Linked DNA regions of Mus musculus. The protein of the gene in region 2 interacts with the protein of the main gene of each other region in a pairwise test. Links are inferred from orthologs where the notes say so. Each region holds a gene or a part of one and is shown on either strand. Other genes may lie near its edges.

Evidence for each region.
Region 1: the proteins of Rab11b (region 2) and Rab11fip2 interact in binary tests that used the Homo sapiens proteins (3 or more experiments, as listed by UniProt). The link is inferred for Mus musculus from reciprocal best matches to the Homo sapiens genes RAB11B and RAB11FIP2.

The regions. Positions count from the first base shown.
Region 1 is NC_000085.6:59,933,359-59,937,174, forward strand, and holds part of Rab11fip2 (rab11 family-interacting protein 2), read right to left. Parts: coding exon 3,630-3,816; intron 2,717-3,629; coding exon 2,248-2,716; intron 1-2,247. UniProt on the Homo sapiens protein: A Rab11 effector binding preferentially phosphatidylinositol 3,4,5-trisphosphate (PtdInsP3) and phosphatidic acid (PA) and acting in the regulation of the transport of vesicles from the endosomal recycling compartment (ERC) to the plasma membrane.
Region 2 is NC_000083.6:33,758,141-33,762,056, forward strand, and holds the start of Rab11b (ras-related protein Rab-11B), read right to left. Parts: upstream 2,347-3,916; 5' UTR 2,123-2,346; coding exon 2,083-2,122; coding exon of another isoform or gene 1,903-2,082; exon of another isoform or gene 1,718-1,902; intron 1-1,717. UniProt on the Homo sapiens protein: The small GTPases Rab are key regulators of intracellular membrane trafficking, from the formation of transport vesicles to their fusion with membranes.

The DNA.
Region 1 (3,816 bases), on a different chromosome or scaffold from region 2:
CATGCTTAGTTACTTAGAGGACAGACATGGTTCCTGTGCTCCTGCAATCACAGGCGTGTCAGTTCACACACCAGCTTCTTGGCAATGGACTGTGCTTTAAGTTGACACAGTAGTCTCAAAACCATGGGTCACAAGAGTTCAGGAGCTCTCTAAGTAGGTTTTACTTAACATACTGGGAAAAAATTCTGTTCTACGCCTTAACTGGAGACACCCATTAACTACAAATGTTCTAGTTTACCAGAAAGATGACTTGTGACAGAAACTTCCAGGAATGCACTTTCTGTCCCCATACCTGGAGCTTCATAAATACAAAGAAAAAGTCTTAAGTTCTAAAAGAATTTTTTTCTTATATACTTGTAACCATAGGATTTATAATACAACCTTGATTTTGATAGTAGTGTTAATATTAAAGTGGAACAAAATGAAGCTGAAATCTAGTGCAGGCCGTCTCCCTGTTAAAGCCACAGAGGCCACAGCTTGAGGACAGTTACTTTTCATATTATTTGTATTGTATTATTTTAAAACTAGTTCCCTTTTTTTTCCTGCTTTTCACTGACTCTAAAATTACCTAGTTTAGCCAATCTCTAAGTTACCTTGAACACTTGTTTTCAGTAATCTCTGCAAAAAAATAAGTGTTCAGAAAGGGAGGGGCACACTCTTATTTAGCTTGTACTTAAGAGTTGATGAAGTAGAGACACATGAAGAAGTATCTCTGTGTCAGGAAAGCACAAAATAAAAATTTATTTCTCTGAAGTATAGTCTATAGATAAAACTGAATGAATTTTTTTTCTAAAACTACAGCAAATTCCCATCTAATAATAAAGAAAACAAACAGAAAATGAGCACTTCCCTCTGGAAATTTTAAGAGCATTTTTTAACATAGCATAGAAGATATACATTCAAGGGTGGGCATTGCATTCATGATGGAGAGGTCTAAGAGAAAAGCGTACCCAAGTGGCTGTTAATGCTCCGTCTTCTGTAAGTACTGGGACAAAACAAAAAGCCCCAATTTTAAAGAAAAGGATATATAAGACATCAATTGGTCACCTGTCCCTTACCCAGTATTTCTGGGACCCAAAGTGGTTCAGTTTGGTTTTAGAATTTTAGAATATCAGCATTGACTTTCCATGTAAAAATTACAAATCTGAAAAATTCCAAATCTGAAGCTCAAGGTTCTACCCACGATGAAAGCGTTAAACTGTCATTCTACTTCTACATAAAAGTGGATCGGGTTCCAAGTGAAGGATACTCAGCCTGAAGCAGTGACCATCTATTCGATCCCCGCTTGGTACCTGGCTTTGTACTGTGTGTTTCATGTGTGTGTTACTTAGCCTCACTACATCCTACAAACTACATATATCCTCTTTGCTTCAGAGATGTAGATGCTGAGGTCTAGAGAGGTCACAGTACTCCACAGTCAGGATTCCCACTCAGGTCTGTATATTACACAGGACACTCAGCCTCTACTGTATTTCTCTACAATTACTTAAAAACTTCATGGTCATCTTCATCTTTGCTTGAGGTTCCTTAAGCAGGTCCTCTATCACTCAGAACTGCAGAACCTCTGACTTTAATGCTGTGAAGTAAGCAGCCATGTACACAGAAGGACCCAAAGCTTTAAAACTCTAACTTTCATCAGCTGATTGTACCCATGGCTACTTGTCACCCAGGGCTCTGGTTAGGGTACAGACAGTACCCCCAAGGGTCCCTGGATTCAAGAAGACATTCATGTATTCATGAATAAAAGATATTTCTGATCAGCCATCTAATAAAGACAGTTAACATCTTTTATGACAACATTAGTACTTCAGCATTTGCTAAATAGCACCATGCTGACTGCTTCTGGCTCACTGGCGCTCTCCTGACAGCCCGTGATTTAATCCCTGGGAAGCACCTAGAAATATACTTCTGGATTGAATTCATGCCCATGGTCTATTCACTTTTACTGGGTCTCATCAAATACCATGCTGTTTTCTCCAAGAACTATGGTAGGTTTCTGGCTCCCATAGGTAGGAGCAGACTGAGGTAGAAAGGAAAAAGTCTTTGCTCTTCCAAGGTAAAACATTCAATTCCAAGGACACATGCAAACAACAATGTTTAGATCTATGATGGATAGTTTTTTTTTTAAAGGTAAAAATAAATAAGTAAATAAAAAGAATATAAAATATTCATGCATCTAAAAGGAATACTTATTATTTTCAAGTACAAGGTCCCCCAAACGGCACATGTTCCTCCTGGTGAGCTTACCTTGAAGATGGCATTATAGTTGAAGCCCTGAATTTTGCTGTAAACGGGTTAGTTGACTCATATTCAAAATAGTCCTGCCGGTTTTCACTAAAAGCACTAGGTGATTTCAAGTCACATGGGCTATCAGATCCACCATTGTTCAGCTTGTCAGGTCTCCTGCTATCTCTCTTGCCAGTCACTCTTTCAAAGAGGCTCACCTTCTCCCTTTTCTCTCTCTTACTTTCTTTCCTGACTTCAATTGGTTTTGAGAATAAATTCATGCTGCTGTCCCATGGCTCACTGCTTTCTTCAAATGGATTCTTCTTCCTTGGCAGTGTTGCAAATTTTTGGGGTAATGAAGCAGTCACATTTGTAAATGGGTCACTCTGTCTTCCAAAAGAGTGTTCACCTTCATCCACAATGCTGCCAGGTTGGTTCAATTTAGAAGTATCAAAGCTTAGTGTTCGTCTGTGTGGAGACTTGAGACTTCCTACAAACATTTTTTCCCATTAGTAGGTGATGGGTGACATATGCTGTTACACTATCTGATACATTCTGCTGCTTCAGAATGAGAGCAATTAACAAGATATCAACCCTCAAAATAATCAAAACAATCTTAAAATTAGGTAAGGGGTATTATAAGTAGATGTGCTATGATACTATATTTTTAGACAATTATATTACTATCTTCTTTGGCTCAGAACCGATCACATGAGAAAAGTGTAAAATCCATCCAAAGGGCCTGCTCTCACAATCATACTGAAAAGTCTTAAACTTTTCCACCATTAGAATCCAATTTTGTTTCCTCTGAATATAGAAATTTTTCTAGAAACACTTGTATGGAATGGAATATATGCTACAGGCTCTTTTTCCTCTTTGGTGTGTCCATGGATATGCGTGGAGGCCAGAGGTCAACCAACACTGTCATTCCTCAAGAACTACCCATCTTGGTTTTGAGACAAAATCTCTTACTGGTATGGAATTTCCCAAGTGGTCTTGGCTGACTGGCCAGGGAGCCCCGGACATGCACCTGTCTCTACCTCCTCCATTCCTGCCTTACTGTCTCAGTGTGCATTTGGGTGTCTAAGGAACTCCTCAGATCCTCATGCTTTCAAGGCAAGCACTTTGCCAAACATTTCCCGCTGCAAGCTTTTGAAATGGAGAAATGATAACAGAAAAAAGAGGCCAGGCCACAAAAGAAGGCTAGGATTCATTTCTCTACCACATACAACAAAAATATAGATACAAGCAAGCATGTCTCCGGTGAATCTATCAATTAGGTGTTGGGAGGTACTCAAACAATCAATGACTGGCTTTAGAAACACTACTTTTCATTTTCTATCTTTAGAAGTTACACTACATAAAATAGGAGAGAGGAAGAAAGGAAATATGGCACCACTTACCACTTTCTGGAACAACTCCAAAGGAATCTATCTGGCGACTGAGAAGATGTGTTGGACCCACAGTGCTGGACTTCAGCTTCTCAGAAGATAAGTGGGACCCAGTTAAATCAGACATCGAATGGGCAGAAGAGAGCCGCTGAGGACCCAAAAGAAAAGGCTTTTTTGGTTTGGATTTCATCTGCATTTC
Region 2 (3,916 bases):
CAGAAAATGAGGAACCCCAATGACACGGACAGAGGCTCACTAAGTAGGAAAGCTCTTCCTGTAATTGGATACATATGTGTTGAAGGAAGGAGGTATAACAACTGTCTTTTCCATATCTAAGCTTCAATCTTTGCCCCTAAACTTAACCTCTAAGTGGTAAGATCTGTCTTGGGCTCAACCTTGCTCCACCCTTAGGAACCTGCCTTTCTGAACTTGTTTCCCCCCCCCGCCCCCCCCACTTTTTTTTTTAAAGACATACTATGGATGTGTAACCTAAGTTAGCTTTTAAAAAATTTAAAAGAAGCCGGGCGTGGTGGCACATGCCTTTAATCCCAGCACTTGGGAGGCAGAGGCAGGCGGATCTGTGAGTTCGAGGCCAGCCTGGTCTACAAAGTGAGTGCCAGGACTACACAGAGAAACCCTGTCTCGAAAAAAAAAAAAAAAATACAAGAAAAATCTCATTCTGTTGACTTGCCACTCCCACCTCACCCGTTTATGTAGACCAGGCTTGCCTTGAACTCATGGAGCTCTGTCTGTCTCTGCTTCCTGAAGCTGGGATTAAAGGTGTGTGACACCACACTCTGCTAAATTACACGATTTTTTTTCAGTTTATCTCTATATGTGATGTGGAGTACCTGTGACGGGCAGAAGACAATTTGCAGACTCTCTTCCACCATGAAGGTCCCAAGATTGAACTCAGGTCATCAGGCCTGGCAGTGTACACAAATACCTACGCTACCTCACCATCCCAGATTGGCTCTGAACTGCAAAGAAATCCTGTCTTAAGTCAGGGTTTCTATTCCTGCACAAACATCATGACCAAGAAGCAAGCTGGGGAGGAAAGAGTTTGTTCGGCTTACACTTCCATACTGCTGTTCATCACCCAAGGAAGTCAGGACTGGAACTCAAGCAGGTCAGAAAGCAGGAGCTGGTGCAGAGGCCATGGAGGGATGTTCTTTACTGGCTTGCTTTCCCCTGGCTTGCTCAGCCTGCTCTCTGATAAAACCCAAGGCTGCCAGCCCAGAGATGGTCCTACTTACAAGGGGCCTTTCCTCCTTGATCACTAATTGAGAAAATGTCTTACGGTTGGATCTTATGGAGGCATTTCCTCAACTGAAGCTCCTTTCTCTGTGGTAACTCCAGCTGTGTCAAGTTGACACAAAACTAGCCAGTACATCCTCCTACCTCCAACTCTGAGTACTGGGATTGCAGGTGTGCACCACTACTGGCCTGTTTCCTGGATAATATGGGCTGTATAAACTAATAAGGAGGAGTAAAAGGGACCATTATTAAAAAGTTTCAGAATAGTACAGGTACTGCATTTAACGTTGTCCATGTGTGGTTTTTCTTTTTTTCCTTTGAGAAAGGGTTCCAGTAATCCAGCCTGGCCTCTGCACTTTTGATCTTCCTACCTCTGCCTCCCAAGTGTTGCGACTACAGGCCTGCACCATCACCAAGGCGGTGTTAGTGATAAAATCCAGGGCTTTGAGCATGCTGCTGCTAGGAATGCTACCAACTGAATCACTTCTCCATGAATATCAAGAGTTTGAACTAGTCGACAGACAGGCCCCAATCTACCCAATTCCAAAGCACCATAATATAGGGTTCCTGCACATGATCCAGGCTCCACTCCAAGGTAGGCCCCGGGTGTGTCAGTCAGTCCTAGAAGGCTCACACCAATCAGGCTTTGTGGGCACGCCCACAACCTTCTCCTTCGCCTTAACACCAGCTACAATCCTGCTTTCAACGCAGTCCGCCCGCCAAACCCAGGAAAGCCCCGCCCCTCGGGACGCCCCGCCCCAACGGCCTCTCCTACCACCTCGGGCCCCACCCCCCCAAGGCCCCGGCCCCGCCCCGGCGCATCCGGGGTCCGTAGGCCTCGCCGAGCCTCCCTTTCCTCACCACTGCGTACTAGGGCCCGAAGCCTAGCGAACTCCACTTGCCCCGGCTTCCTCCGACTCCCAGCCCGGATAGGCCCCGTTGAAGTCCGGGCCTCCACCCTGAGCTCTCTGTTCCTGTAGCACGGCTTCGGCCCTCCAGTCGCTACCGCCACCTCGCCTGTCTGTACCCCACAAGGCGCACCTTTGAATAGGTAATCGTACTCGTCGTCCCGGGTCCCCATTGTCCTGGCGCTTCCGGCGGGATCGGCGACTCCGCAGCCCCACCACAAACACCCGTCGGGGGCGGAACCGGCGCCGCGTAGAGCGGCGGTCTAAAGGCCAGTCAACGGTGAAAGCGGTAGTGACAGGCACCTGGACAAGCCAATCAGGCTGAGAAACCGAGCTCGGGGGGTAGGAGCCTCCTGGGATCCACCCTTCTAGCCCTCGGTCTCCCGGAGAAAGGCGGAAGGAATGCGGACCTTTTTGAAATGACAGATTCAGCAGCCTATCAAAAGCAGATGGGGGAAGGCGGGACGGAACACTTGAACAATGAAGTGGATTGACAGAGTGCGTAACCAATGAGAGACTGAACTCAGACTGGGCCTTCCAGCGAACCTGTAGGGGAAGGGAAATTGAGCTACCTCTAGGTGACGTTACGGACTTTAACGTCCTGATGACATCATAGATCAGTGGGTCTCCTCCGACCTCTTATTCTAGCCCCATAAATGACCATTTCCGGGCGTATGTTCGTTGATTGGGGGTGCCTTCTCTGGGTTGCAGTTCCCCAGTTCTTTGTTTAAATACAAAGCTTATGTCAGTACCTCCAAAACAAATGGGGATCCTAGGCTTTTTTATTTGTTCCTCTTCTCAAAAAGTTCTCTTGTTTTCTGCTTTCACCATTACTCATATTTTTTCTTTTCTTTTTTTAAGACAGGTTTTTCACTATGAAACCCTAGCTAGACTGGAATTGGTGATATGGATCAGACTATACCTGTCTGATTTTCTTTTTTCTTTATTGTTTTTTTTTTTTTTTTTTTTTTTTTTTTTTGTGACAGGGTCGCACCATGTAGCCCTGGCCATCTGGAACTTGCCCTGTATAGACCAGGCTGGCCTTGAACACAGAGAGCTGCCTGTCTCTGCCTCCCAAGTGCTGGGATTAGAGGCATTGGCCACCACCACCCAGCTTGATTTTGTTTGTTTGCTTGTTTGTTTGTTTGTTTGTTTGTTTGTTGAGACGAGGCCTCAAGTTACCCTGACTAGCTTCATATTGAAGAGGGAGTAGAGATAGAGAAAGGGAGAGAGAGTGGCAAGGAGGGGGGTGGAGAGAGAAGAGGAGAGGCCGGCCAGGGAGAAGGGGCAGAGTGTAGGATAAGAGAGGAGGGGGGCAAACAGCCCCTTTTCTAGTGAGTTAGTCATACCTAGCTATTGCCAGGTAACTGGGAGCCTAGAAGGAATGATAACAATACATATTTACTTTGAACTAACTTCTTTTTTTCTTGTTCTGTTTTATTTGGAGCACAGGGTCTCCCTGCCTAGAACCTGATATTTAACACTGAGAGATCCACCTGGCTCTGCGCCGCTAAACACGCCACCTCGTGCTAGCCAACTTTGAACTTATGATTCTCTTGTACACTGGTAACTTGGAAGTTACCTCTCGGGGGCTGGAGAGATGGCTCAGTGGTTAAGAGACTGACTGCTCTTCCAGAGGTCCTGAGTTCAATTCCAAGCACATGGTGGCTCACAACCATCTGTAATGGGATCTGATGCCCTCTTCTGGTTTGTCTGAAGACAGATACAGTGTACTCGTCACATATATAAAATAAATAAATAAAATCTTTTTTTAAAAATTTACCTCTCTGATTTCATTTTCTTTCTCTGCTTGTGTATTCCTGAGATTATGTGGCTCATTTGGGCCATGAAGTCTTTGTTTAACAGATATTAAGAGATTGGGAGAATAGTAAGGAACAGCAATGCAGCTTAATTTTATTTATGTGTATGTGTGTTATGTTTGCATGTTGTGCACTATGTGTTTGCAG